Arabidopsis thaliana: one gene and its partners. The protein of the gene in region 3 interacts with the protein of the main gene of each other region in a pairwise test. Each region holds a gene or a part of one and is shown on either strand. Other genes may lie near its edges. The genes, in order: TCP2, AT2G37000 and PRR1.

Region 1 (11,589 bases), on a different chromosome or scaffold from region 3:
AAAAGTTTCGACGTATGTTATCTAATATTTACATATTAATCTACTCAACCTATTATCTACCATGTTAACTACATATGGAATTTGAACTCATTTTTGAACCAATGATTTTTTTGCAATTTATGTGTTGATCAAATCATTGAAAACCCAATGAAATGCAACTTGGTCTAAAACTAGCGACGTTGTTAAAATATGTATTGGTGGACTTGGACGCAAGCAATGTGTGTGCCTAAATTGTTTTAAAGATATTCTCAAAAAATTTAAAAAATTCCGCTTTACATTGATTACATATGCATATCACATGACAAGAAGTATTATATATGTTGATATGCTTAGTCTGTTTGAAAGATATTGGATACTTCAAGAAGAAAGAGCCCACTTGTTTACTTTCGGGCAGGCAAAAAGTTTGTGATTGGGATGAAATTATTGTACCCTTTTTGACAACAAAATTAATATGATTACTTACGGAAATTTTAGTGGACATTGAGTAATGATGATAATGTAGAATATATGTCACAATTGTCATTATTTAAGATCAAATAAATATTTTTTCCGTAATAATTCTGATGAAATCACTATTTCGCTCAGATACGTTCACACACCACTTTTTACCATAAAAATATAATTTACATAAAACAAAATGATATGCTTTTGTTATCTATGTGAGTTTAATCCTTGTAAATTTTTTTGTAAAAAAAGCGACATTTTAATTTGCATCAGAACGTGTTCGAGTTTTACTTTGTCCCTGCAATGATCAAATGATCTGGTGACGAGTGAAAGTTGTGATTATTAAGTAAGTATACAATTGTATTTTCAGTAAACAAAGATTAAGAACATGTGTAGCTCTAACCAAACTTAATTTTTTCGTTTCAGCTCAATGGGGACATTTTATGGTTCAAGCATTGCTTAAGCTTAGGGTTAGGCATTGCTTAACTCTCAAACAAAACAACCATTTATCGTTGCAAACGATTCATCTAATTTTCTTTGCTTTAACTTTAATAAACATACTAACATATACATAGCAACTTCTATTGTAAGAAAAGAAAGATAAACATTATCTTCCTCTCTTAATCAGCTTTATTATTATATTCATGAATAAATCTGATTGACGTAATTTAATCTATAACCAAAGAGACTTTTATTTTCGAAAAGAACAAAATCACGGACTTCTCATTGTGCATGTAAAGGCTTTGGAGGAAAAAAAGAAAGAAATGGATGGTTAAAGGCTTCCCGAACATTAAGGCTTTTTCCCCCAAAAGAAGTAAAGAACATATTATGTCGAATATATTATACACAAATGTAGAAAATGACCTCTCCACTCTTCAGAGCCTAAAGAAAAACTGTTTAATTAATTCAAAAATGAAGTAAAGTTTAACTAAAAGAAATAGTTTAGTTAAGATATCTGAATAAAAATATTGGTTAGATCTATGATCTATCAAACGGATCAGTACATGTACATCCTATATGAAGAACCTCCGATGCTTAATTTGTATCTAATTTTAGTTTGAATCATCAACTATCTATTTTTTGTATGTTTTTCACTTTTACTTTTTGTTTTTAAAAAGCCATGGTCTGTAATTTTATCCACCAGTTTGTGGTAAAAGTCTTGAGACTTGCTAATATGTAGACCGTAGACGTACAGTCACAGTTTGTTTCGAAAAATCTAAAGTTGGTTCTAATTGATTGACAATGTAAACTTATTAAGAATATTCCCTTTGGAGAAATAACTTTCTGAAAGAGAAGGTTCGGGATTATAAGGCCTTCTTCTTTCCGGCCCACTGGAGTCCAATCTTCGTCGAAAGAAACCGCAAGAGCAAAAAAAGTGAAGCAACTCTTTTAGAAAACAAAACTCATGTAAAAGAAAACTTCTAATGGGTCGATAAACCTTGAAACAAAGTCAATGTTCTAAGCCCAATATAAACTTAACCAGATAAAGAAAAGAAAAAATCATATACACAAGTGTTGATACAAACTTATATATTATGAATTCATAATTACTGTATATAGAAGTCAATATAAGTATAATAATAATAAAATATAAACTATATAAAATCAATAATATATTGCAATTGTTGAAAACAGTATCAATAAACATTTGCCAATTGCGATGTTACATAATTATATTCAAAAATTATATTTATTAAAAACCTACAAAATTATGTGTTTTCATAATAAAATGGTTATCTCCAAACACTTTTGTGTTATTTAAAATATTTTGTAATGTCTATTGTTTCTAATGTTTTAGGCCAATATAATATTGGGACTCCCAATCAAAGGTTTTTTAAGATATTATTATCTTTCTCACTTTTGGAAATTACTTGAAAGTACCTAAGCCTCAAACACACATGAATCACAAGTAAAACAACTTTACTCTAAATCCCAAAACCACACAAAAGTTGAAAGTTTTCTAATAAACAACTAAAAGAATGAATTTAATAATACTTTGTCTAGTACCCTAAAAGATGGGTTAGCCATGTGGGTGCAGAAGATCAAGTAGCCCATGAAAGAAAAAGTTAAAAAAACTTATAATAATATAAACAGATCATAAGAAATAAAATCATGAAAATTTGGGAATAGCCATTGTTGAAGACAACAGCTGTCAAATGAAGAAGATATATTCATAAGATAGATAGATTATAAAAACAATACATATGGAGAGAGATGATGCTAAGGAAGAAGGGAACCAAACATAGAGCACAACAGGAGACAATTCATTTTGATTTTCACTCTCTTCAATGCATAATGGCCTTACCCTCAATTTTTCAGTTTTGTCTATCAAAATTATTTATTTCCCTGATTATTATGTATATTTTCTTTCTTTCTATTTTTATTTACAAGTTTTTTTTTGTCTCTTCACTTAATTTCTGTATTTTTTATTTTTTTGGGAAAATTCTTAATTTCTGTATTTAATTCTTCTGAGTATTTGATTTGATTCAATCTAGTACCTTAAAAGGATCGCCCTATTGCCTTGACCTACCATTTGTTCATGAATACCAAGAAACAGTATCTTCGTACTATAAACAATTTACTAAAGAAAAAAAAAATGCTAACTATACCAATTACATGGCAAAAATAACATTCAAAAATTCAATTATAAACTCACAAACAAAATGCTATTATCACAAATACAACATTACAAGCACAATGCAAAAAGATTTCCAAAGACCCTCAATACATAAAACAAAACCCTAACACACATCAGACAACGAAAGAGATTAACATTTGTTTTGAAATAAACCAAAGATAAACATACAAAATGAGCATTTGAACAAAACCAAAGATGCAATAATTAATATCATCAGTTCTTGCCTTTACCCTTATGTTCTGATGAGTTTCTGCATCCATTTTCATAGTAAAGCTGAAACTGGTGATTGTGGTGGTGATTCTCTGCAGGCAGTGCACCGAATAAGAACTGTGGACCTCCTCCACTTTCTGATGTTGGAAACCTCTGTAGATTAGCGAGGAATGACTGATGCTGATTTGTTGAATTGGACTGAAGGGTCCCCCTGTTGAAACCACTGAAGCCACCACCTGATGCGGCGGAGACGGCAGCTCCGGCGCCGGAGGGTGTTGACATATTAAAATCAAGATTGAATGCTCCGCCGTTGGATTCTGCCGGTGATATCAAATGGTCGGGAACGAATGAAAACTCTTGATGCTGATGATGAGGATGATGATGATGATGATCGGAGATTGATGAGAAAGGATGAGAATTTGTTGAAATAGGGAAATGGGTTTGTTGACCCGACCCGAGAATTAAACCCGAACTGAAATACTCCATTGGAGATGAAGAAGGAGCTGAAGCCATCCATTGCCGGTTTGAGTTAACCGGATCTGAACCGGAATTTAACAAATCCGTAAACGAAGTGTGGTTATGATCTCTTTCCTTGGTCTCTTTAGCTGTTCTCTCTCTAGCCCTCTCTCTAGCTTTATCTCTAAGCTCCGATCTTGATAAAGACAAACCAGAAGAGTTCTTGCTCGTGTCTGAATTGCTACTACAAGCAGATTTAGACAAGGAATTAGCAGCAACTGTTGTTAATGTCTGATTCTGGTGATTCTCGTCATCGGTCGGAAAATGAGTGTTGTTGAGTGAAGGAAGCTCAGAGATTGAATCTTCAGCAGCTTTGATTAACCATTCAACAGCTTTGCTAGGTTGATCATAACCTAACCGATCTTGAAGATCATAGAATTGAAGAGCGGTGGAGACTGATAACCGGACACGACGGTCACGTGGTCCTTTAGAAGTCAAGACTTTGCTGTGTCGATCTTTACCACCGGAAGCTCGTGAAACCCTAATTATCCGGGAAGAATTGTGATGCCACCGGCTTAACCGGTTGTTCACTTCGTTATCCACAACGTCGCCATTGTTGTTATTCTTCATTAGATCTCCAATCATTTCATCATCACCAATAATCTCATCACTAAAGAAAAAAAATTAGGGTTTTGTTTTTTTTTGGTTACCCCCAAAATTAAAAATCAAAACTTTAGGGTTGGTTTGGGATTTAAAGAAGGAGAAAAAAATGGGTTTTTGTTTTTGTTTTGTTTACCCACTGTACTTTGTAAGCATTGATGATGAATACCCTCAGAGGAAAAACCAAAAGAAGAAAAAAAATGTGTTTTTTTTTAAAATTAATTTAGGGTTTTTGATATTTCACCATCAAAGTCAGTAGATACAGCTTCGTATAAGCTTTGTCTGCAGCTGCTGTTGTTTGTTGCAGAGAGTCATCAAAAGCACTGTGTCTGAAATGATTTTTAACCACAAGCCTGCAATAACAAAAACAAAGAAACAATCTCATAAGAACAAATCTTTACACATATATATATACATAAATGCTTATATATATATATATATATGTTACATCCTTATCGACTTTTTCTACAGATGACTTTCATTCATATATACACATAATTAAGATATCAGTTATTCTGATTCGAATTTATGCTCTACTCATTGTAGATCTGACATATCACAACAATTGATAAAACGGGTTTAAAGTTAATGATCGTGATTAAAGAAGAAGGAGCTAGAAGAAGAATCAGAAGCTATGATAAATAATTAAGCTGAATCAACTGCTTTCGGCTGAAGCGATTATCAATGGAGGGCTTTAAAGAGTAAGAAGACAAAAAATGCAGAAATCGAGTTTTAAGCTTTTCTTCTCTATATAAAGATTTTGGTGTTTCTAATTATGAAAGAAAAAGAGTTGTTTCATAGTAACCAACAAGAAGATTAAATCAATTTAAAAATTCTTAAAAAGGAATCATTATTGATGTGTTCTGGATTCTATGCAGATCACAGGTGTCAAGCTCTTGGCTTTGAGATTATATGAAACCAAAATTTTAAAGCAAATTAAAGGAACAAATACACTTCTTTCTACAGTGAAATTCTCATCAAGAAATAAAAATCTTAGATCTAGAATTGTTTTTTTGGAATCAGAATTAAGTATAAACACGAAATTCAGATTCTTTCTATGAAAAAGATTGGTTTTTGTTTGTTTCTCGGAAAATTCGATGAGATAAATTGAGACTTACAGAAGAAACAGAGGAGCTTGAGCTTGGAGTTAGTAGTAGTAGGTGACGAAGAAAGAGGGCTATAGGGTTTTAGGGATTTGTATATAAGAAATAAAAATCCGAGAAAATTGGAATTTCTTTGATGGTGATTTTAAAGGAGTGATCATCAGATGGGGAGAGAGATATTGGGCATAAACTTTGATTTTATTTCCATTTTTGCCCTTCATTACATTACTTATTCACGGAATTGCCACGGTCCTCTACAAAATATCTGTATTAAATTATCATCCTCAGTAATTTGATTTCAGGTGAGAAAAATTATTTGATATTTTCGTTTGTTTTTGGCAATAAAAACACAAGAAAATATTTAAAGAAGTTTTTTTTGGCAGCTATTATATCAAGAAGTTGTGAACATAAATGCTATAGAAATGTTAGAAACAAATCAATGCGTGAATATGAGAAATCATATTATCTCATGTCACATGTATATTTATGTAGGAGAGGAGAACAAACAAAAAAACAATTCACTTTGTCCAAGTGTCCTTAGGATTTTAGTTTGTTCATAGAAATAGAATTCGATTAATACTCAATAATCTACTCTATGATATGTTTCGATCATAAAAAATGCTACATGTTTTATGTTTTCAAAATAGGTTTGGTCTATCATTCTTTACATGTAAAGCTCATGGTTTTCCACCAATTCCTTCGGAACATAGATTTAGATAGATAAAAGATTCATACCGCAATATAAACATATCTCTCATTCTCAAGCTAGTTTTCCAAGTTTTTATCTACTTGCTTTAAAAAAGGAACTCTCGCGGTCTCGCCTACACTCTTAGTCTTTTTGTTCTCCGACATGATTAATATTGTATATTCAGAACATTTTGCAGAGTAAACTCGACCCTCTCTCTTGAGCATAAAGCTCGAATCCTTCCTCTGTTTTTTTATTATCTATTTGGTTTGAGGTCTTTTAATTTTAGATATGTGAGTAAATTATTTATATTTTGTTTATGTGTTTAAAGTTTGCTTATGTTAATGAAATTTTTTTATAAAAAAATGCTACATGGAAATATATATACTGTCCGTATCATAACAATGTTAATTGTTATTTACCAAAAAAATATCTTTATTACGATAAAAACTTATACTATGAATCTTAGAAATTAGAAAAATTGTAACTATTATGTGTGAATTTCAAAAATTAATCAAATGAAAAATATGTCGTCAACGACCTTTTTAACTAAATTATCGTATAGGTCTTAGTCAGCCATTGCTCGGGTTCAAATTTGAAAAGTTTGGGATTTTATATAGAACAAAAAAAATAAAAATTTTATATGAGAAAATGTCTAAATTTAGCAGTTTTTATGATATTTTTCTATTTTTAACCATAACATGTACTAGCCTAATAAAAATATAAAAACAAATTTTATTTTGGAGACAATGCAAAACAATTATCAAAGTAAGCACATAATCCAAGCAAATATCTAAAAATTAAACAAACTATTTTAAAGTAGAAATAACTAAATTTCCGGGATAATGATATTTAAGGAAGAATGAAAACTATTTTAAAACCTATACATTTCTTTTCCACCTAACAAATCATATTGATAAAGAAATCCAAACCCCTATTTTAATAACTTACACTATGTCAATCCCACATCACATCACTAGAACTTCATGGAAAAAACACGCACAATTTAATTCAAGAATTAGTACAAATCGTTTGCAATTTTAATAATCTAGTAGTATTTTTTTAGTCAAGTGGTATTACACCATACTCTATTAACTTTAATAAGTACAGATTAGTTATTAGTTAATGTGGTTTGTGGAATTCAATAACTGCGATTAAGAACAAATGACGAAAAAGGGAAAGAAGTAGAGCAAGTGGTTCACGACGGTCTCGAGAGCACGTGTCGCTGTCTTAACGGACACTTGCTCACTTCTCGATCACTGTTGCCTTTACCAGACCACTGCACGTGTCTGCTTCTTGGTCACCCAAATTTCTGCTTACTTATTTTCTCATGCTTATTTTTTTTTTAATTTTCTGCTTCTGCTCATCCAAGTCCTCTAAATGATTATTTTTTATTTTTTTGACAATCAGTCCTCTAAATGAATTTCAATCACTAAAATAGACAACAACGAAAAAAAACCACAACAAAAAACTAAAATTAAGAACCCTGATTCTTATATATATGTTGCTTGTTAATATCAACCTTATTAATTATAATTGGCCTTGGAGATTTCTATATTTTGTAGTTATACATTTCTTCTTTTCTCATCATAGTATTCATGTTACTTGTTTAGTTAGGAAAATAGTAGTTATGTTTATGTTCCTGAATAGTAGTCAATACTGAATATCAAGATTCAGAATACCCATGTATATGTTTGCTCGTAATGTAAGATTTGTAAATAACCAATCGTCAAATAACCAAATTATATACGGTCAGTAAAGTTTATATCTCTTTCAATAGTATCAGTCTATCACGTAGGCATATTATGAGTTTAAGTATTATGCGTTTAATGTGTTACATTCAAAAATTTAATTAGAGTATCCGTATTTTAAATATTTTAAAACCAAACTATCAAAAATAATTAGAAAATAAAAACAATGTATGGATCTGAATCTTTACTAGATTCGTATTGTAGTGCGTACTGTTTTGACCACAGTGAGTGATGTGATGTTATGATTTTATAAACAGCCTTTTTATTGCACATGTACTATTTTCTGGTCATTGCAACTATGTACTATTACTGCCTTGCACAAAAATAATATATCCATAGAATTTTTTTGTGTTGTTAAATCTAACTATTTGAAACACCAAAAATGGACGATGAAGTTAACAAATCGTATGCATTGTAATATTGTATAGGTTGGGTAAAATTATTCAATTTAAAGATGGGCTAACTGCGAGAGTCATGTATCATTTTTTTCTTTACAAACAAAAAAAGATAAAATCACTAATACAAATCGGAAGTTTTTCACCGATTTAATGAGTTAAATTATATTTTTATGTTTAAATTGGTTTTAGAGCAAAATAATTTTATACGAAGACTTGCGTTCACATGCTTCTCTTATTTTACTATTTCATACAGTTTTTATTTATTTATTTGTGGTATCTAGAAAACCAGAGTAAGTAAAATCAAACGAATTAAACAATTCAAACAACAAAATTGAAATATAATTTTTGTTTACTGTATAAACATAAGAAAAGAAAAGAAATCCGACACGAAATTATTTCTTAATCTATTGTGTCAAGTGTTTTGATTAAGAGAGTACATTAAAATACAAGTGAAGTTGATGTCCTTTTAAAATGGACCATTAATGAATCTAGTGGGGGCATGACTCATGATTAATTTTGTCTATTAAGCTTCTTACATGCTCTATATATGGAATAAACCCTAATTGTGATTTGAAATATAGGTCCACCTAGAGGTATATACCTTTCTATTATTAGATTAACTCTAATTAATTTATTATTACCCATTTCATGTAAATCAATTCAGACTAGTCTATGAACTAAACTTGGTTAATTTATCTCTCGTCAATCATCGAAGGACCACAACATACATACATATATTTGTTGCAACATCTAAATAATATATATAAATATATATGTTATAGCATATTATATAAATTATAGCATAGTCAAAGTGAGTTCAACGTCATGTTTCCATCAAGCCCCAAAACTATGATTAAAGCAGACGAAATAAAATGTGTTACCACCAAGGAACTTACAAAATTTATATGTAAAATTAATTTTCCAAAATAATAATTTGGACAATATTATATACTTTAGTTAAGGCCCAGTGTATACTTCACGGCCCATGTTAAGTTTCGGTTTATAACTTTGGTTTGTTTGGTTTAAATGTTCAGACTAGTTTCCTTTATATGTGGTTTAAAAGTGGAAAGTCTCCAAAAAATTGAAGGCCTTTCCGATAGTTCAGGCTAAATAGAAGGAATCACCGGTCGTCTAAAACAAGGGAAGATATTTAAACTCATCAGACTCTCCCACCATTTAAAGACTACTACGAATATGGAGACAAGGTTTCCAAATGTTGCAAAAATCACCCTACATCTTTATCTCCGACGACAATGATCAGAATAATCTCCAGTACACGAGCTTGAAAGACGTGATCTCAAGTTCCGATGGATTTGGTTCGTTGTTTTGTCACCCACAATACAGTGTTCCTTCACAAGATGGTTTTCTCTTGTCAGAGATGGATTCTTCTAACATCGCCATTAGCAACGAGCTCGTGAAAAGAGCAGCCTCGATGTATGTTCAATCTTCTATGATTGTCATTGCTCCTGACACGAATTGGTTCCAGAGATTCTGTTTGAAGGCTAAGCATCAGGCGGTTGCTGCGATTGATTGTCTTAGACCGGTTTGCCGGATTTTCGCTCGGTCTAGTTAAGAGATGTCTTTAGAAAGGGTGATTCTAATTCTTCTTAGTAATTGTGTAAATATTGTATATAATTTTAGATTATCAAATAAAATTTCTCAATCATTCAACAGTTTTTTTTTTACTTCACCTGAAGCATAAGAACTCATTTATGAACATCATACCTACGTAGATTAAGCATCACGCCCAAGTCTTTTCCTTTTAACGTTTCTTCTTAGCTCGTTTGGAAGAAGACCTCAACGTCTCTTTTCTCAGATCTTCCGTAGCTTTTGTGTCCAGGAACGGCTGCAAAATAAGAGCAAAATCTCAAACAAGTTAACACATGAAAAGCCGGGTTCATCAACTTTCACTGTTTAGGTTCCAAGTCTAACAATTTCAATCCCAACATCAAAGAACCCTTTGGATTTTATGCCCTTGGTAGTTCTTTGCGTTTAAGCTACTTCTTGGTCCGACCTCGTAGTCCATTATAAGAGTCTGATCCTTAGATTAATTCATTGGTTTCATGCTTTGATTTGTATATCTATAGAGTCGATAAGCAACTAATATGATATATAAATCAAGACTCTATTAAGATAGATAACAATGGGTTCATTCTACATCTAAATATTGCTACAAGTTCAAACAAACAATGAAGTAGATAGGAAATGGATTTCTAACCTCGTCCTTTCTCTTTTGGAGCTCCAGAAGCTCTCGGCAAAGAGCAAGACACTCAACGTGGTAAGCAGCAGCTAAATCCTTAATCAAAGCTTTCCTTTTGATGATCCCAATCACTTTCAAAAGAACCAATTCAAAGCATTTGGTTAGAGAAATCACACTGCAGAGATATTGAAAGAAGTAAAAATAGCAAGCTGGTGAATCATGATCAGAGCAAAAACATAAGTATGATCTTAAACATCAATGTTTCATCTTAAAGATAATCCTTCATAGCTATCTATACAGTTGCTTTAAGAATGCAGATTGAGAATCACTAAACTTCCATGAATCTTCTTCATTTGATTTTTTTATGAAACTAAGAAACAGAATCAATGTTCACAATCAGTTTTAACTATAATCTCTCACTCAGCAAAGTAAAGAGAAGCTCTTTCTCTACACTTAGTCAAATTAGTGATTATGCAGGACCAAGGATTTTCGATTAGAACTACAAAAAATGCGAGCTTTGGGTACGATTAAAAAGATCATTCTAATTGAAGGGAGATAATAGAAAAACCCAGAAAGCAAAACCCTAGAAATCAATTTGATGTTGCAGAAGAAAAGGGGAAAGTAAGATATTACTTCGACTAGGATCGAATGTAGCCGGAGGAGTAGACGTTTCCGGTGGGGGATGTTCGGGTTGGGATGAAGATTCCGGCGGAGAAGGAAGAGGAGGTTCCGGTGAAGTTCGCTTCTCTTCTTCCGCCATTGAAGAAGTTTCAAGAAATTTTTTTCCCACAGAGATTTTTATTTTATTAAAGTCAGCTGAAGTAAATACAAAATCTCCTTATTGCTATTTTCCACTGTGATTTATTTATTTCCGTTTTGTTAAAAAAGTTTTAAAAGCTCTTTATAATGTCATTTTATCAAATAGTGATACTATTATATTTTAATTTCTTTCATATAATTTATCATTGTTTATTTCGCTGAGGGAAAAAAAACTATAAAGTCGTTTAAAAAAAAACAAATCCAACTATATTTTGTAAAACCACC
Region 2 (10,026 bases), on a different chromosome or scaffold from region 3:
AGAAGCATCAAGAGAAATGGACATCAAGTTAGATCACTCTATCCCACACCAAAAAATACTGAAGAGCTCGAGATATTTTTACAAGAAACCTTTTGTGCCTACACAAAAACAATGGGTTCATTTGAAGCTAACCTGCAATAAGTCCTGAAAGTTGAGTCCACGATTCTGATATTGTTTAGCTATATGGACTACCAGACGTAGGTTTGCTGTAATCAACTTTTCCCGGCTGCTTCTCCCACGGTGGATATCAGATTTTAAGACAGGGGAACTTATCCCCATAGCTTCAGCCCACTCGCCTATTGTTGGTTCGCAGCCGTTTTGAGATTCAAGTTTAGTCTTTACCTTCTCCAACTTTAATAAATGCTGATAGATCAAAGATTATGGAAGTTAGCACCAGGGACAAGAAGGAAGTCCAAGGACACATGAATAAGGAAAGCATGAACCTGTATATGTGATATCAGCTCAGCTTCTTCTTTAGCAGTCAGAAGTTGTTTTGTCTCAGGTCCCCACAAGAAGAGCTGAAGCGCATCATCATTATCAGCCCCTTGTTTATACTTTTTCTTCGCACTAGTTTTCTGAGGAACATAACCCTCATCGTCCACATCGTTTGATTTTGGAGCCCGTCTGTTCTTTGCTCGTCTCTCTAGCTGCCGCTTCGATCTTACTATGTTTCCCTTTTCCGGTAAGGACATAGAAGAGCTAAAACCAAACATCCAGAAATACAAATCTTTTCACATTACAGCCCACAAGTAGCAGATTGATAAGATACACAAACAAGGTTAAAAAAAGCAACCTAGTGGAGAGAGAATCCTTGATGTTGTCAGATGGATTTGCTTCAGTGTCATCAACTAACAATGCAGCTTGTTTTGAAGCTGATAAAGCCTTCTGAGCTAGTGCAACCACATCACAAAGCTCTGCATCAGCTAAAGGAGACACAACTGCCGGCAATTTCGTTTCAGATGTTAAAGGAGATATTAATCTGCAAACAAAAGAAAGGCTACATCATTCAGAAAACTCAAAAGGTTGTATGAAAACTGAAACTGGTGGGTTTAAGAGAGGAAGAGACATTACAAATTCCATAAACCAGTAGAGTGAAGAAGTTGCTGTTCAAATTTCTCATCTTCTCGAGATGAAACCAATTCATCAAACTGCCTCCTCTCCAGAGTCAACTAAAAATGCAAGGAACCCAATCGCATTAAACAAGAGGACTAGAAAGTTGACAACTTTATGATTGATTCAATCTCTTAGGACAATATTGCTGCTAATAAAACACACCTGGGATGTTCTATCGTCTCTTAACGCATGTGACAGAGGCCTAGACTCTTCCCGTGGCTCCTGTGAGAGAACCGACGCAGGAAAATGTCGAGATAGAGAATTGAGATGACGTGAGTTAACAACAGGAGTTGTTGTTTGATCATGAAGCATCACTACTACAGAAATACCAACAAACGAACAAAAACAAATCAGAAAATGCTAACACAAACTCGTATACATACACTAATTTCAAATTGAAATCCATGAACTTCAAATTCCAGTAACTAACAGAGACAAATCCAGCAAAGACACAATATTTCTATATGAAGAGTAGCTGAATAAGAAGTACCAGAGGAAGGAGAAGAGTAGCTGCTCTTGAGATGAGTCTTTGTCTGAAACGAAGGAGATGAAGAAACCAAGTTCCTCGTAGCTTCCATTTCACAGAATCACCAAAGAATAAAAGACTCTGTTTTTGCTTCCACGAATGGCTAAGGAAGAAGAAGAATAAGAACATGAGGCTACTCTACAGAGCCATGACGAACAGATAAGGCGACACACACACTCCCAATTTTTTTTTTGTAAAAATTAAAACTTGTTTGTTGCCATGGAAGTCAGATTTTGTTCTCTCTCCCTTTTTTTTTTTCCTACAGAGTGGATCATGTTGGGCCTTATATTGGGCTTAAAAGCCCAAATTATCCAAAAGTTAATTCGAATCATCTTCTTCTCCCTCCTTTAGTAACCCTAAGATTCTCTCTGTGAATCCTTGTTCATCGTCACTGAAATTAGTTTACAAAATCGACGAATTCGGAGATGATTTTTCAGAATGTGTGCAGAAATGAGTCCAACTTCAACGCTATAGCTTCCGAATCGCGTTCCCAAACGCAGTTCGGTGTTTCGAAATCCTCCTCGAGCGGCGGCGGATGTATCTCCGCCAGGACTAAAGACCGTCACACGAAGGTTAACGGACGAAGCCGTCGAGTTACGATGCCGGCTCTCGCCGCCGCTAGGATTTTCCAGTTAACGCGTGAGCTCGGTCACAAAACTGAAGGAGAAACCATCGAATGGCTTCTTAGTCAAGCTGAACCGTCGATTATTGCCGCCACTGGCTACGGGACTAAGCTCATTTCGAATTGGGTTGATGTTGCGGCGGACGATTCCTCGTCGTCGTCGTCGATGACGTCGCCGCAAACGCAAACGCAAACGCCACAATCGCCGAGTTGTAGGTTGGATCTTTGTCAGCCAATCGGAATTCAGTATCCGGTGAATGGTTACAGTCATATGCCGTTCACAGCGATGCTTTTAGAGCCGATGACCACGACGGCGGAATCTGAGGTTGAGATCGCGGAGGAGGAGGAACGTAGACGCCGTCACCATTAGTAAAATTAGGCTTTTGATTTAGAGTGTTAAAATTAGGATTTTAAAAGTTTAGGAGGTAACAGATAAGGATAATTTAGTCAAATCATGTTGTTTAGTTTGGTAATGTTATTTTGCCACTAAACAACTAATAATATTGTTTGATAATCTTATTATTTGGTTTTGGAAACAAATTGATTAAAAAATAATGCCATATGTTTATAATGTTTATATTGTTTTTCTCACTATTGATTTGTGATTTTTTAGTAATGCTTGAAATCATTAAGCAACACTATTTAAATAAACAAAAATTTCTCATGAAATCCAAAGAATCATCATTTGTCATGCTCCTCCAATATAGTTATTTCTATTTTTGGAAATAAGTTATAATTAAGAAACCAATCATTTTTCTCACCCATTTTTTTTTTCATTTGCTAGAAATCTGGACCTCCTTCCATGATGACCCTTCTCAACTCTCTTCTTTCACGCAAGTCTCTCATTTTTCAACTTTCCAACTTTTGATCTCAACGTCAACATTTCAAGATTTTCTAAAAGAGAACAAAAAAAATCTACAACAAGCTCGTTAGCTTTCTTTTAATCCTTCATCTCCATTTTTCAAGAATATACTCATTGGTTTTCTCAAGACATGATAGAAAAACACAAGACATCTCTACGGATATTTCTATTGGTAGCTTCCAATGTATCTATTCTATTGTTAGGTCAGAGGGTTCAGATATTTCGATTCGGAAGGTTCTGATTTTAAGGCAAGACTTTTGATATAAGAACAATGAGAGTTAGGGTTGATGTTTGTTGGACACAACACATCTTCTTGTTCTTTGTTTTTGGCTTGAGTTTTATGTCATTTGCACTATCTCTGGATGGAGATGATTACAGCAAAACAGGGAACCCAAAAGCTCTTGTTTCGGTTACAAACCTTATCTATACTCGACTTCAGAATCTAAAGACTGTTTTAAAGGCTGACGTTGATCGAGATTTAGGTTATTGCATCAAGAATTTGTAAGTCTTTTCAAAATCAGCTAATGTAGTCCCATGTTTGAATTTTACATTTTTCTCATATCGTTTGTTGATAATTCAGGAAGGGCGATTGGAATGAAGCATTTAATTTTGATAAAAATCTGGACTTCTTAAGCAATTGTGTCAAGAAAAATGATGGTAAACAACATAAAAAGGGTTATGTTTTTATATTCAAATACTTGAACATTGAGATTTAATGGTCTTGTGATATGCAGGTGACCTCACACTTAGACTATGTTCAGCTGCGGAGATAAAGTTCTACTTTAGTAGTTTTGTTAGAAGAGATGAAGCAACAACGGTTCATGTAAAGCCTAACATCAACTGCAATTTAGCTAAATGGGTTTCCGGATGTGAGCCTGGATGGAGTTGCAATGCAGATGATGAAAAAAGATTTGATCTCAACAATGGAAAAATTCTTCCATCTAGAACTCGTAAATGTCAACCTTGTTGTGAGGGTTTCTTTTGTCCACAAGGTCTTGCTTGCATGATACGTAAGATATCCATTTACATACATATATGTTATATCAACATTATAAGTACTAAAACTTTAATCTAACATATTCATTGTTGTTTATTCTCTGATTTATGTAAACGAAGCGTGTCCGTTAGGCGCATATTGCCCGCTTGCCAAGCTTAATAAAACAACAGGATTTTGTGAGCCGTAAGTTGTTAGCTTTCTAGATTGAGTAAGTTAATGAAAAATCTTATTAGTGGATGATTTAAAGAGTTTTTACATTGCAGATATAACTACCAAATTCCTCCGGGAAAGTTGAATCATACATGTGGTTCTGCAGATAGTTGGGTTGATGCTGAGAGTAGTGGTGATATGTTTTGTTCACCAGGTTCATATTGCCCAACAACGATTCGAAAAGTCACTTGTAGTAGTGGGTATTGATTCTTTTATCTCACAACTCTTGTTACTTTTTGAAAATTTGTTTCATATATGAAATATTCATCATTAAGGATGTAATTAATGTTTTTATGTATTACTTAGACATTACTGCAGACAAGGTTCTACGTCACAGAAACGTAAGTTTCTAAAACACTAAAACCTAAGAAAATGAATTGTTTTATAATATCATTATCATTCATTAATTCTCTTTTTGGTGACCGTTTTAGCATGTTTTAAGCTCGCAACATGCAATCCGAATACCGCAAACCAAAATATTCATGCCTATGGAGCGATCTTAATTGTAAGTTGTTAGTTAATTAGAATACATTTTGCTTTAAAATTTGTTGGAAATTATATTTTCGTTATTGTATATATAGGCATCACTAAGTCTTCTCATGATCATGGTTTATAACTGTTCTGATCAAGTTCTCGCCACTCGAGAAAAAAGACAAGCAAAGTCGAGAGAAGCTGCAGCGAGACATGCAAAAGAAACAACACAAGCTCGAGAAAGGTGGAAAACCGCAAAAGGTGTTGCCAAGAACCAAAAGATGGGATTGTCTGCACAACTATCTCAAACATTTTCTCGCATGAAATCTGCTAGAAAGGATGCCACACCAGTTAAAGCATCGGGAAAGTCAAAAGACAAGAAAAAAGAACCGAGTAATTTAACCAAGATGATGAAATCAATGGAGGAGAACCCGAGTAACAACGAAGGATTCAATGTAGGAACCGGTAGTAAACCTGGGAAGAAGCCACAAGCTCCAAAGGGTAAACAACTACATACCCAAAGCCAGATTTTTAAGTATGCATATGGTCAGATTGAGAAGGAGAAAGCTATGGAACAAAACAACAAGAACTTGACATTCTCGGGAGTTATTTCAATGGCTACTGACACTGAGATGAGGACTAGACCTGTTATAGAAGTCGCGTTTAAGGATCTAACTCTTACATTGAAGGGTAAACATAAGCATATATTGAGATCTGTCACCGGAAAGATCATGCCAGGTCGTGTTTCTGCGGTCATGGGTCCATCAGGAGCTGGAAAAACTACATTTCTTTCTGCCTTGGCAGGAAAAGCAACTGGATGTACGAGGACGGGTCTAATCCTTATAAATGGTAGAAATGACTCTATAAACTCGTATAAGAAGATCACTGGATTTGTGCCACAAGATGATGTTGTGCATGGCAATCTTACCGTCGAAGAGAACCTTCGATTTAGCGCAAGATGCAGGTAAATTTATTCTCATATCATAGAGGAGATTGAGAGTCCAATTCTTAAAAAAATACATTTTTATTACATAGTGTTTATGCTTCAAAAAAATGTTGCATATCATTTATTTATATATGTTTCTTTACATGCAGATTAAGTGCTTATATGTCAAAAGCAGACAAAGTTTTGATCATTGAAAGAGTGATTGAAAGCTTAGGATTACAACATGTAAGAGACTCGTTGGTTGGTACGATAGAAAAAAGAGGAATCTCTGGAGGACAAAGAAAACGTGTGAACGTTGGTGTTGAAATGGTCATGGAACCTTCTCTATTGATATTAGATGAACCCACTACAGGTTTAGATAGTGCATCTTCACAATTACTTCTTAGAGCACTTCGACGTGAAGCACTTGAAGGTGTTAACATTTGTATGGTCGTCCATCAACCCAGGTATGTTATCTCCTCCATGAATTATGTTACAATTTTATGTTAAGAAATACTTTTTGCTTAATAATTGGTTTTTTCCTCTTATTAGTTATACAATGTACAAAATGTTCGATGACATGATAATACTAGCAAAAGGTGGTCTTACCGTGTACCATGGATCAGTCAAAAAAATAGAAGAATATTTTGCTGATATCGGAATCACGGTTCCCGATCGTGTCAATCCTCCTGATCATTATATAGATATTCTTGAAGGCATTGTGAAACCAGATGGTGATATAACTATAGAACAACTTCCTGTGAGATGGATGCTGCACAATGGTTACCCTGTGCCTCACGATATGTTGAAATTTTGTGATGGACTTCCTTCCTCGTCAACTGGATCAGCTCAAGAGGATTCCACTCATAATTCTTTTAGTAATGATCTATGGCAAGATGTGAAAACTAATGTGGAGATTACAAAAGATCAGTTACAACACAATTACTCGAATTCTCATGACAATTCTAATCGAGTAACTCCTACCGTAGGTCGACAATATAGATATTTTGTTGGAAGGTATGATTTTTCTAGATTTGATAGATGGAATTTTGTGGTTAATTTCATATGTACATTAAAACTTTAGTCTATCTATTTCAGGGTTGGAAAACAACGGCTTAGAGAAGCAAGACTACAAGCGTTAGATTTCCTAATATTATTAGTTGCGGGAGCTTGTTTAGGAACTCTTGCGAAGGTGAACGACGAGACAATCGATACACTTGGCTACACATACACCATAATAGCTGTCTGTAAGTTTCTTACGTACACAAATATTAATTTACATTTACTAGTATTCGCGATTTTTGGAACGTTAACTAAGCTCTTTTCTGTATGTCTTTCTTTTTTTGTAGCTCTTTTGTGTAAGATCTCGGCATTGAGATCATTCTCTGTAGATAAATTACAATATTGGAGAGAAAGTGCCGCTGGAATTAGCAGTTTGGCACATTTTATGGCTAAAGACACAATGGACCATTTAAACACAATTATGAAACCTTTAGTGTACTTGTCCATGTTCTACTTCTTCAACAACCCGAGATCTAGTTTCGAAGACAACTACATTGTACTAGTATGCTTGGTCTACTGTGTAACAGGCATGGCTTACATTTTTGCCATATTGTACAGTCCTAGCGCCGCACAATTGGTTTGTCCTCACTTTCTCATAATTCATATATGAAGGAACCAAAATTTTCACTAACCATATGGTACCTGAATTTGCTGTTATGTTCTTGCAGTTGTCGGTGTTAGTCCCCGTTGTTATGACTCTTATCGCTAATCAAGATAAAGAAAGCATGGTCCTTAAGTATCTCGGAAGCTTTTGCTACCCCAAATGGACTCTCGAAGCCTTTGTCCTTTCCAATGCTCAAAGGTAGAAAGTTTGAAGATTTAATTCTTCTAACACATAATCAAATCTTAATTCAGAAAATTTGATTTTGGACTCTTTTTTTTGGGTTAGGTACTCTGGAGTGTGGGTGGTGACTAGATGCAGTTCATTGTCTCAAAACGGATATGATCTTAGTGATTGGATATTGTGTCTCATTGTTCTCGTTCTCATGGGACTAATATGCCGATTCATAGCTTATTTCTGCATGGTTACATTCCAGAAGAAATAATCTAATAATTACACATGATTAAAAAGCTTACATTTTGTAAAATTCTTCTATTTTTCATACGTTAAATATTAAATGAGTTATATAAGTAGTTTATAGAATTAGAGAAGAAGGGATTTTAGAATTCCAATTTTGTAATTTTTATTTGTAGATAATGGTGATTATTCATCATGCTTTTTCTTTCTTTATATGGTAACCGGTTTTGGTAAGATAGAGTCATACAGAGAATGATATACAAAGAAATCGGTTTATTTTCAGTTACGATTCTTTGGTTTATATGATCCGGTTTAATTGGTTACTAAGATGATGTCGGAAAGAGAATAGGGAAGCGGCGTAACTAAAAAACACGACACGATGATGAATTCGGCGTTTCGAAACGTTCACATCACTGCGTCTCGTTTGATAAACCCTAAGCCCTTTTCTTCTTCGATTCTCCATTTTCTTCCTCTCTGTTCCGGCGACGCTTCTCCTCGCCGTTCCAATCCTCTCCGGCATAGAAACTCGGTGTCTCCTTCATCTTCCTTTCCCTTCTGTTCGACTTCTTCCTTTTCTTCTTTCTACATTCCTATGGCGGGAGGAGATGGTCAGGTGTCTCATTCGCTTGAGAAGCAGTTCGAGAGTTTCCGTGTTCAATTGGAAGAATCTGCAGCTTTGAGAGAGCAGATTCGTGCTGTGGTTATGGAGATTGAGTCTGCTACTAGGCTTATTCAAGCTAATCTTCTTCTCGTTCATCAATCGCGTCCTATTCCTGGTAAATGATTAGTCTTTAGGTTAAAAATTGCATCTTTTAGCTAAATGTTTGAAATGGCTTGATGGGTTCAGAACTTGGTGATGAAGTTCTCTATGAAGGGAAGTAACTAAAAATGAAGAACTTGTTGAGAAAAGAATGAATATTGAATTACACATAGCCTTTGTTCTTTTAAGAAATTCATTGGAAGTGTTTGGTTGTTACTAATATAGATTGCTCGTTTTGTTGATGGATCAGAGGTTATCGAGAAAGCTAAGGAAAAAATCGTTGATTTGAAGCAGTATTATGGTCGGCTTGCTGAAATTCTTGAGGAGTGTCCTGGACAATACTATAGGTAAGTTTGAAAGCTATGTGTAGTTAGATTTTCTTTATTTGCAATGGTTTTTTGTTAAAAGGTTTTTGTAATGTAGGTACCATGGAGACTGGAGAAGTGAAACACAGGCAGTGGTCTCCCAGCTTGCTTTTATGCACTGGCTAGAAACTGGAACTCTTCTCGTGCATACCGAAGCTGAAGAAAAACTTGGGTGTATGTCTCTGGATCTCAATTTACTATTTTCCTTACTTCCAAATACTGAAATACATATCATGGCCTAGTGGTTGCACTATAAATAAAACCTTATTTTGTTTTGCTAGTTCTCTCACAAACTTTTGTATAGAAACTTCCTTCCCACAATAGGTAACAACTGAGCTGGCAGTAGGCAATCAATTTGAAATCCGTTCATGACTCCAACATACTATACGTGTTATCCTGTGACCCTCCTTTTGCCTGACCTGTCTCAGTTGGAAAAACTAAATGAACGAGTTTTCTACTTTTCTCAATAATCAGATTCAGTTTGCCACTAGTCTTCTTCTCTTATCAGTATGTTAATTAGTCTACCTTTTCTTGCTCGTTGTTATTGATTTTGTCCTTAGGCTTTGTTTCAGTCTGCATTTTATCCACTGTAGTGTCAACCATTTAGCTAAGATTTGATTTTTTCACCTCAATAGAGTTATTAGTTGCCGTTTCCCATGAACTCAGTTATTCTCCCTTAGGATGGATGGATGATAATTGGAAGGTTGGTTTTTCATTACGTTGGTGTAGAATAGATATTTGCCCAAGTGTCGTTTTGTTTCAAATCTGGGTTTTGTTATCTTGTCAAATCAATTGTCTTTGAGTAAAATAAACAGAACAAGGTGTTGGTCAATTCATCTGCCATTATGGCTCTTCTAATTCCACTTCATTGTACTTCAGTGAACAGTTTGGAGTTTGGATTGGAGACAGAAGATTATCTCACTGGTAAGTTTCTGAGAAAGAACCCATATTTGCTCTGGAAGGCCAATATCTATAGATCAAATATGCCTTACGAGCATTTTATGAATCGCAACATTGCTTTTATATTCTCTGATCTTCAGCTTTTTGAATACTTTGCAGGAATTTGTTTCATGTCAAACGATTTGGTAAGATCAT
Region 3 (10,481 bases):
AATCAATCCCACAAAAAACCCACAAGAACAAGAACCAAAAAAACATAAATTTTCTCGAAAGTAACAATTTTTCTCTCGAGAACCATTAATCAAATCTTAGTGAAATAATTATGTAGGACAATAAAAATAAAGAGCAACTGTAATAATCAACATTTTTCTATCAATATTGAAAAAGTTTCGATTTTTTTGTTCTTTCATTTTCTCGAGATATTGACTTCTCAACAGATTTTACTAGCAAACAACTCAAACTCTCAAAAAGTTTCGTTTTTTATGTAAGACAAAACCAAATTCCGAGAAGAAGAAGATAAAATACTTACCCGAGAGTGTAAATCCTAAGGAAGATAGCAGAATCAAGACCAGCATGACGAATAATCTCTGATTCACTCATTTTCATAGCTTGAGGCATCCAATTAAGGAACGTGAAGTAAGTCTTGTAGTTGAGGTTTACGAATTTTCCGACGAGAGTTCTGTCGGAGCGCCGAGGACTGTTTCTTTCTCCGGTGAGATACCATTTGGGGAAGTAAACTCTGTCGTTGATGGGTTGGATTCTTAAGACAGCGAATGCTATAAGAAATAAGAAAGCACCGAAGAGGTTGATGAGAGCTGAGACTCCTATGTCTTGTAGAGTCGCCATTGTTGATAAACTCGAGAGAGAAAGAGAAGAGAGATGGGTTTTGATGGAGAGTGGCGTAAAGGAGAAAGAAAGAGAATGAAGAAAGTATCCAAACTCTAGGAGTTTCTAATATTTTTATTTTTGAGGTTTTTTTCCAATTGTTATATAAAAATATTATCCATTTCTATAAACAAATGATTTTTTCTTCACCTTACCAAAAAAATTAAAAAATCTTTCTACAGATTTTATGGTAAATTATTTTGATCTAATACTAAGATAGATGACATCCGAAAAGATAAAAAAAATTCATAATAGTTAAACATAAGTTACATAATAATGTTTGAAAATTATTTAAACTAAAACCCACAAATCATTGCATGTTTATCAATTGTAATGTATAATTATAACTAATTGACATAAGGTAATACCATATTATATATATAAAAAAATTATGGACAATATATTATATTGTATACAGCTAATTTTCATTTCCTCTTACTTATATTTTGGAAATATCTTTAAGACCCCTTGATATTTGTATTGTACTATTTCATATGTTTTTTTTTGGGTTGGAATTAGGTTTAGAGCCAAGAGATAAGAGAAACCCTCAACATTTGGTGTCAAAGTATCATGTTGTGTGGGCCGGATTTAAATTTGGTTAGATATCAAAATCTTTTTCTTTTGGGAAATAAATTTTGAATAATTCATTTGATGTTTTTTTGTTACGATTATATTCCTAAAGAGAGTATGAGAATTGAGAAATGCTCATTGCTTATTGTAGTGACCAACTATCAAAGTAGTAGCACGCGTGAAATCATCGAGTGATGGAGTAAATTTCGTTTTCTTTTGACTTCTTTTGGTATACTAGAAATTAAATAAGGTTTGATATATGGAGAAGCATCTTGTATTTGCCTTTTATGAGTTTCTGTATTAACTTTTCAAATAAAGGCAAAGTTTTCGGTTACCTAATCTAAATAATGGATAAATTATAACCAAATGACAAATCATGATAAAATTATATTCTTCGTATTAGGAGATGTACTTATAGTTTTTAGGTAGGACATGCATTTATTTTGGTCGAGGAAATCAAAAAGCTTTGCGGGAATAAAATATGGACTCGTTTTAGCTTTATTTAAAATATAGAAGAAAATTTTGACGAACAAGTTTTTGTCAACAAACGTTATACAATTCTATACGTTTGATCAGTCATACAATTTTTAGTCATTTCAGGAATAAAAATATTATGTACAGAGTCTATGATCTTGATAAATTTTAATATCGCTTTTGCTTAAGGTTTTGGGATTAGTAACATGTCTTGATGCGCTCATCCACGTTTATCTACTCGTTGGCAATAAACATTATGCTAACATTGCTTGTGTTGCCTTCTTATGACTTAAAAAAGTATTGTTTACATTCTATCCACAACAAAAATATTTGACTTTTACGTTTTAATTAACCACCGATTAGTTTGTACGAAATCGCGACTAAAAAAAAATATGTGACGTAGTAGTGGATAGTAAAATTATCTGTTTTCATTCGAACTCAAATTCGGGTTGATGATTTTTATAATTATATATGCAAGGATCATTATCAAACCATTTGATTTCATAATGTTTATGTGTCAATGATGGTAAATTGGAATTATTCGAGTTTGTAATAAACAATTGTAATATACTAACATCCGTCCTCGTGATTCATTGATGACACTCCAAAAGTCCCATATGCACATTATGCAATTATCAGCCTTTGTTTATCTTGTCTTATGCGCTGTCTTTTATTCCATCAAATTTTGTATAGTCTCGTGTGCGTTGTTGTCCACAAAAGAGAGCAATAGTTTATTATTACTTATCTTTTGGCGGCGATTACAATAATTTAGTACACAAGCTCAACTAATTGTTTGGTTTCAATTTATGCATATTCACATACACTTAGAAAGTTCCAATTCCAACTTGCAACCACATAGTTTAGCACTGGTATATAAATTAAAGACTGGGCTTACAAGTGGGTTTTATGGTTTTTTTGCTTTAAGAAACAAAAACTTGTGATCTTTCATATTTCTACTTTCCTACTGATTTTTTTTCTCATTTGTTAGTAGTCTTCTTTCATATCGATGCAATTCCATGGATATTTTGTTGTTGTTGTTGTTGTGTGTGTTTTTTGTTCTGATCTTAGTTACGAACCGAGATACAAGATTTCATCAAACCTCTCGAGCTTTGGACCTCCGTATTCTTCCATACTAGAAGTTACGAGGTAGGGTTCAATCAGTAGAGTTACCAACGCCTTACTCCTTGTGTTGTTGTTGTTCTTTTTATTGGTTGTTAAAAACCAAAGATAATATTTTTTCTTGCATGAAGAATATATTTTTAAATTTGCATATATAGCAGAACATGAATGAATATAAAACATCAAACTTTTGATATGTGTATTTAGTATAGATAAGACTTGGTCAAATCAGAGGAACATTCTTAAGTAATCATCCATGCGTTTGTACTTGACGTCAGGATAAAGACTAGAAGCTTCTTCGTCTTCTCCGACTTCGTGATCAGTGAGACATCCTTCATAGAAAATGTGATAGAAATGTCCTATCCCTGCTTGGTGTGGAATCTCCATTTCTACATACATGTAAAAGAAATCAAATAAAGTTGATGGGCTATATTTTTCAAATAGACCTAAAGCCTGGCCCATTAAGGATATGTTGCCGAACATAAAGTAGATTACGTTACACTATTGCTTGGACTTACGTTCAATGTTGGCGAGGAAGTCTTGTGCAGCAATATTTGTTTTCTCCAATTCTTTTCCGGTTAGCTTTTCCCAGATCTGAACTAATTCCAACTGCGTGAGAACGTTGTCGGGAGGTCTAATATTCACGGTTTTGTTTAATGTCCGTGGATCGTTTAACGTTTTCGCGGTGTATTTTGCGATATCATCTTCATCCGCAAACACCACTACAAATATAAAACGGTTTAAATTGATTGGTTTAGATGGGCTTGATCTAATTTAAAGTCTTAAAAGGTATATAACCACAAAGAGTTAAAAAAGAGTTTGAAAATTTTACCTTTTACATTTCCATCACCATAAATATTAACTTTTTCTTTCGGAGGAAGTAAAGTTACCATCTGAGACAAGTTTCCGGCGAAGTAGGCGGCAAAGCAAGCACCCACAACGTAAGTGTAAGGAATTCCGGCAGCCTCTATCGCCTGACGCACTTCCATTTTCTGGTCAAAGGTTTCTCTTCCGGGCGGTAGCGCATGTCCCATACGTGGTGGATCCATACCAAATTCAGATGGTAAAAACCGCTGAAATTATTAATCTTACGTATATCATTATAATTACAACAAGAAACAAAAAGTAATAATAATCAACAAGAGTATCAAGTTTCTTTGTATGCATGCAATATGGATCTTTTACCGTTGACGTTTTTTTTCTTATAAATGAAATGTAAATAGTAAAACAAAAATAAACTCTCCGGCTTTTTTAATTTTATTTTCGTGTGGTTTCTTTACTTATAAGATTTTTTTCAGATTAACCGCACAATTTTCTAAACCGATCAATCATAATTAAACTTTAATTTATAGTTTATTATACCTTTACGTTACCAGCCTCTTTGATAGCTTCGACGAGCTTGAGCTGGACTAGAATGTTATGGCTACGGAAGTGAACACCGGACATGGCGGAGACAACGACGTCAACAAGTTTCACGGCGGATACGAGGCTTTGATGGTCGGAGAAAGAACCTTCAACGATACGTGCGCCGAGTTTCTTGAAAGAAAGAAAGAGTTGGACTTTCTCGATTTCGAGACCAATCTCTGGCCTCTGCAAAACGTAAGTCTCGTGACCTTCAGCCAAACACGCCCTTACTATCCTCTTCCCTATGTATCCAGTCGCTCCAACCACCAAAACGCGCGTTTTCTCGGTGCGTTTGCTCTCTCCCATTTTTTGTTCTCTCTCTCTCTCTATAGATCAATGTTTTGGTTGAAAGAGCCTCTCTTGATTGTGTATATATATAATGAATCGAAACATATACATTTACATATATATGTGTACACCTAACCGATAATTGTATGCATTATAAGTAAAGATATCGACATTTGATATGATGCCTATGAAAGAAAATACGTATTTTCTATTAATACTTTTCTCACCATATCCTTTTTCAATGAATACTTATGACAAAATATACTCTTTGATTATTTTAAAGAATTTATATTAGGTAATCCACGATTAGTAAATAATATCTTAATTCCGAAAATAGTACATAATTGGATTGTAACACAAAAATAGAGATGTCTATATGAAAACAGATTAGTCAGTTCTTGGGTCTTTACCAGTGTGGAACCATAGTCTCTTAATAATTTGACTAACGTGTTCGTTTACTAATGTGTCTCACGACACCTGATGACTCCACTAGACCTTTCTGAAAGCGATTATTGTTCTAACTCGTGGTGACATGTTTTGGTGGGATCTTTCGCTAACACTTTAATTAGAGAATAGAGATTAATTTGGCCGTTTTAGTATACTTTGACAAAAATTAACTATTTCTGACATAACTATTGACTTTAGAAAAAACAATTCGCCAACTCTTCAATTGGAGTTTGAAAACATGTAACATGAGCAGATTTTTATCTCCATATATAATTAATCTATATTCTATACCAGTTAAAAAGCTTACGCATGTATTCATTTACAAACATGACATCATTTGTTTGAAATTCTATGTGTATATAGTCAATTTTTCAATGGTCACAAAGAATCCCCTAATCGGCCACAATTTTTTCTTTCTTTTTCGGCCATCATATTCACATAAAATTTGGTACAATATGTGTAATATAGATTAAAAATCTACAAATAGGTGTATTTTGTAAATCTCTAAATGCTCCGAAGTAAATAATTGTTTAAGTGGTGGCGTTATGACCCACACGCCGCACTCTTCTGAGCTATTCAACCTTATTGTGATGACTTACAAATGTCATCTGAGCTTTTTAGATTCTTTGCAATGGAATAATAATCCTTATTAGTAGACTAGTAGTTCACCTAATCTCGACATTTTTTAAAAAATAAAAATAAATGATCAAACGCCATATGAAAACAGAGCTTCTCTCTTTGTTTGCGTTTACTCCTCTTTTCACATAAATTAAGTAAAGTAACTTTTTATTTTATTTTTTAATTATTTTTTTATTAATTTAATAATATTAATTGTACTTTTCTCCTCTTTCTATTAGTAACAAACAAATATAATAATAATATAGATACAAAGTGGAACAAAAAGAAAACTACAACATCAAATTGTATAAAACATAATGATTTTCTGAAATTAAAAACACAAAAATTATGATATCTTTTGAAGGGTAATAATTTTGTAACATTTAAACATCAACTATCAAACGTTATTAATTTTATCATAAACAACAGGAAAAAAGATTGAAGACAATGAACAAATTAACCCTACGTCATGCAGTTTTCTATAGATTTTGTTTTTGTGTCAACCTCACAAACTAAATTAAAATATGTAAGGATGATTGGTTTCTCAAACTGGATTAGAATACAACATCAACAAACCTGATGCTAGATACCAAAATATTCATTTTAAAATTTATACGAAAGATTTCGAAGTAGACAAAAATTGTCTTAAAAATATTAAAAAGCTGGTCAATCGATAGGGAAATGCATATTCTTGACCAACTCTATAAGGTTCGTCACAAAATCTTGACTGCTCGAGAGAGTGTTCTCCACATAATATGAATGCAGACTACTAAATTACAAATTCCGATTAAATCAACACAAAAATAGATACGAATTTCTGGTGAAAGTTAATGTATAATAATGGCCAATATTATTTTAGAATCAAATGAAAATGTGAATGAGAAACAAAGGATTACGTGCCTTTTTCTCGAAGCGGGGCTGTGGACTAAAGAATTAGAAGATAATTGTGGGAGAAAACAAAAACAATTATGACAAATAGATAAGAGAAATTAATTATGGGGTTGGTGAGAGCACCGTGATTGGTTGTGGAAGATGCCACGTGTGAAGATTTGTGTTCTATCCTTAAAAAAAAAGAAATCATTCTTGTAATAATTAAAAAGTAGTTGAATTTGTGTTCTGTCCTTATAAAATTGGTTACAGTTTCAGTGTTTCGTCCAATATTCAAGGTACCGCTAGAGATTTGTTGGATGTTTGATTCACACCTACACTTGAATGGAGTAATTGGAGAAATTAGGAATGAGACTAAAACCATGGTTGTCTCAAACTATATGTTGGTCCATCTATATAAAGTATATCTATGAGATATAATAATTTTCAAAAAAGTTATAGGTCCATTTTTATGTATGTTATATTTTTTTAAAATCATAGACTCTAATTAATATCTATATATTTTTTTCAAAACCCCTATTTATATACACCATTTGTTTTTAAAACTGAAATCACTTAGGCCAACTCCAATGAAACTCTAAAACACCATTTTAGTGTAATTTTTGCACTAAAAGCTCTCCAATGGAACTCTAAAATTCACACCATTTTAGTGTAATGCTACAGTGTTACATCAAATTTGGTGTGATACTATTCACAACTCTAAACACTATTCACTTATTATATCAATAAAAATTCAATTAACAGATATAAAATTACAAATGATTAATAAATATAAAATATAAAAATGAATGTATACATTAATATATTATATCTTTTGAAATTGTTGATTTAATTATGATATTTTTATATTATTATGTATGAAAATACTTAAAATAGTTAAAAATTTATGTATTTTTAAATATATATTTCAATGTACTATTTTTATAATGTTATGTATTTCTATACTAATAATAAATATTAATCAAAACTATTAAATAATAAAAGAAATCTTTTAAATAAATAATATAATAGTAGATTATTCTTTTAGTGTGATTTTTGGTGTTATGGTTGGAGAGAACATAAGTTTTAGTGCTAAAAATAGTGTAATTTGAACACCAAAATGGTGTTTAGCCTTGGAGATGCCCTTATACATGATAAAAAGTAAAAACGCCCTTGGTTACAAATATCATATTACTCTACTTTGATCTTTAAAACAAAAAATCTTATTATAACATTTTTATATATCTTTGTATATGTTTTGACCTTGAAAATTTCTCTAAGTAATGAAAGATGTTTAATACTATATCCATTAATGCATGTTTCCACCGGATTAGGCAGTTGAATTTGTTGAATAATTTTTTAGTTGATTATTTCAAAATTTGCTATGTCAGTGTATTTGTTGGACGCCTTGAACCATCTTTAGCAAAAGTAATGTATTTGTTTTAAATCAACCGGTTTAAATTCATGCAAAAATAAAATTCTTTCACAAAGGCTAAAAATTTGACCAAGTCAGTGGTAGATAAAATAAAAAATAAGAAAAAAGTTTTTGATCTTCTCGAAAGCATGCACTTTTTGAATTAACAATGTAACTCAAATGTCAAAAGCCAAATCTTATGACTTTTTAACTTATAAAACATTAATAGTTTATGTATTGGAACATTCTGCATGACTGCATCTATGTGCCCCTAGTTTAATGAATCTAATTTAATGAATTACATCACTATACCCAATAATAATGTAAAATTTTTTCTCACATTTCAAAGCACTAGATCCCCAAAACTGACTGGGCCTTTAATGGGCTGTATTATGTGGATCTTTAATAAACTTAATCTTTAGAGAATTTTAATTCTCTTTCTAGTAGCCGTTATCTACCATTTAATTAATTAGTATTAACATTTTTAATTAATGATAAACTTTTTCTTAGTTGGTATTAAAACGTAGATTACAAAGTCTCTTGTTCTAGATTCTGTTTATAGATTTTGATCTTCCATGTTTCAGTTAGTTTATGTTTTGCCCTTCCTTGAATTCGGATTTGTTATGCATTAGAAGTTGTGTTTGTAGGCTTCCCATATTCTTGGACTTTAGACTCTTAGTTATTATGTTGTTTGTCGGCTTAGTTTCTGCAATTGTTTCGTTAACTGCCAATTTTGTAAAACTAAATCTATAATTTATTTTTAAGTGAAAAGAAAAACGTAGATTACATGGAAACTCCTTCCGAGGTTTGTTTCATATTTTGGATTCAGAATTTCTTGAAAACGAGAATAAACACTTCATAAATGAGATTACTAAAATTAATAATCTAAAAACACAAATACCATTTACGAGTATTTCAACCGAGATACCTGAATGTGGTATGAATTCTTTCTCTTGCGTTTAAATCGATTGGAATGAAATAAGAAATCTATTTCTTCGTCTTTTTTTAGTAAATCCGAGTTTTCATGAAAACAAAATCTTGACTATTTTTTTTTATTAAGAAGCTTAAATAATATATAAGGTATTTTGTAATTTTTAAAATCCTAATTTCTGAACAAAAAGAAAAATCTAATTAGTTTGAAGAATATAAATCACGTGTTTTTTTCCTAATAACTTTTAGAATTCCTCTCTCTTCTCACTTTGTTAATTCTACATAAAAATTGGTTATGCTGCTTATACTATCTGGAAAATACTTTTTATGTAAAGCTCATAGCTGTAACAAAAATAATTTCTAGAATGAGATTTCTGTATTTACCAAAAAAAGTTCCAAAAAACAGGAACAGGATAAAATTTTCCAATTGAAGTATACTTCTGACGTAAAAGCAAAGCTCCACCACCGTTAGATTATTATCATATCTCTAAATAGATTTTAAATTTTGTTTCTTTTTAAAAAACATTTTTTGTTTCCTTCTTCTTCCCCGTTAAGCGGGAAAATTCTGTCGGGATCTCCGGCAACAAACGCGCCGGAGTCAAGATTTTGTCTCTCAACTGCTTCTCCTTTCTTTCCCCATTGTAAATTTCTAAACTTTAGCCAGAAATTGACCCAAAACCCTAAAATTTGTGTTTTTGGTTCTCCGACCTAATAATGGAGGAGTCTCGAGGATCTTCTGATCAAGAAGATGAACAAATTGTTCAAGTCAGGGAAGCTTTAATGTGTCCCGACGGTGAAAAGTTTGAATCTTTACGAACGGCGAGGTTCTTAAACTACACAACGGCATCTATCGACGACGATGTCTTTGACCTTCCTCTCGATGCGTTTGTGTGTAGACCACCGGAAGGGTTTGATCCAACGGCGAAGATCTCGTTTCCAGGGTGGGGAACTCCGTCGTTGAACTGGATTGAGTGGGTTAATGTAATGGCTAAGTCACACGCCACGGTGTGGAAGAAATCTGGTGTTTACGATGCGATTTTGGCGTCTAGGTATCAGATTAAGAGGCATGATGATTTGATTGTGGCGTTGGTGGAGAAATGGTGTATTGAGACGAATACATTTGTGTTTCCTTGGGGTGAAGCGACGTTGACGTTGGAGGATATGATTGTTCTTGGAGGATTGTCTGTTACTGGGAACAATGCTTTGGCTCCGGTTAAACGAGATGGTATGAAGGAGGTGGAGGAGAAGATGAAGGAGGCGAAACGTTATATTGAGGTGAGTTTGGAGAAGAAATGTTGTGTTAGTATGTGGATGAAAGAGATGATGAATTCAGGGAATGAGATTGAGCATGAGGCGTTTATGGTTTCGTGGCTTTCGCGTTTCGTCTTCACTAATTCGGGTGACGTGTTGAGAGAGAAGCTGTTTCCGGCTGCGGTTCAGCTTGCTAAGGGTGTTAGGTTGGCTCTTGCTCCGGCGGTTTTAGCTAGGATTTACGGGGATCTTGGGGTTTTGAAGGAGTTTCTTACTGGTTATAGTGAGAAAGAGACAGTGGTGGTGAAGTCTCCGTTTCAGTTTGTGCAGGTTTGGGCTCTGGAGAGATTCATGGCGTTGCAGCCACCTGGCCAGCCGAGTCAGTTAAAGACTGGTGAACCGCGGATAGCGCGGTGGCATCATTAT

What was found.
Region 1: the proteins of PRR1 (region 3) and TCP2 interact in a two-hybrid assay, tested with the Arabidopsis thaliana proteins (one study listed by BioGRID).
Region 2: the proteins of PRR1 (region 3) and AT2G37000 interact in a two-hybrid assay, tested with the Arabidopsis thaliana proteins (one study listed by BioGRID).

Annotation. Positions count from the first base shown.
Region 1 is NC_003075.7:10,159,917-10,171,505, forward strand, and holds TCP2 (TEOSINTE BRANCHED 1, cycloidea and PCF transcription factor 2), read right to left. Parts: upstream 5,668-11,589; 5' UTR 5,527-5,667; intron 4,762-5,526; 5' UTR 4,394-4,761; coding exon 3,296-4,393; 3' UTR 3,006-3,295; downstream 1-3,005. Other genes in the region: AT4G18395 (uncharacterized protein), read left to right, coding at 9,559-9,918; AT4G18400 (uncharacterized protein), read right to left, coding at 10,108-10,191, 10,564-10,676, 11,179-11,305. UniProt on the Arabidopsis thaliana protein: Plays a pivotal role in the control of morphogenesis of shoot organs by negatively regulating the expression of boundary-specific genes such as CUC genes, probably through the induction of miRNA (e.g. miR164). Participates in ovule development.
Region 2 is NC_003071.7:15,538,326-15,548,351, forward strand, and holds AT2G37000 (TCP family transcription factor), read left to right. Parts: upstream 1-1,920; 5' UTR 1,921-2,064; coding exon 2,065-2,631; 3' UTR 2,632-2,923; downstream 2,924-10,026. Other genes in the region: SIGF (RNApolymerase sigma-subunit F), read right to left, coding at 133-363, 444-699, 794-979, 1,072-1,169, 1,276-1,430, 1,604-1,691; NAP12 (non-intrinsic ABC protein 12), read left to right, coding at 3,395-3,624, 3,704-3,780, 3,858-4,133, 4,240-4,303, 4,384-4,530, 4,637-4,671, 4,762-4,835, 4,912-5,759 and 6 more; AT2G37020 (Translin family protein), read left to right, coding at 8,186-8,582, 8,817-8,913, 8,990-9,105, 9,811-9,855, 9,991-10,016.
Region 3 is NC_003070.9:11,543,408-11,553,888, forward strand, and holds PRR1 (pinoresinol reductase 1), read right to left. Parts: upstream 4,610-10,481; 5' UTR 4,547-4,609; coding exon 4,199-4,546; intron 3,910-4,198; coding exon 3,669-3,909; intron 3,559-3,668; coding exon 3,355-3,558; intron 3,226-3,354; coding exon 3,065-3,225; 3' UTR 2,753-3,064; downstream 1-2,752. Other genes in the region: AT1G32090 (early-responsive to dehydration stress protein (ERD4)), read right to left, coding at 318-634; AT1G32120 (serine/threonine-protein phosphatase 7 long form-like protein), read left to right, coding at 9,519-10,481. UniProt on the Arabidopsis thaliana protein: Reductase involved in lignan biosynthesis. Involved in secondary cell wall biosynthesis in fiber cells. Unlike conventional pinoresinol reductases that can reduce both pinoresinol and lariciresinol, PRR1 shows a strict substrate preference toward pinoresinol.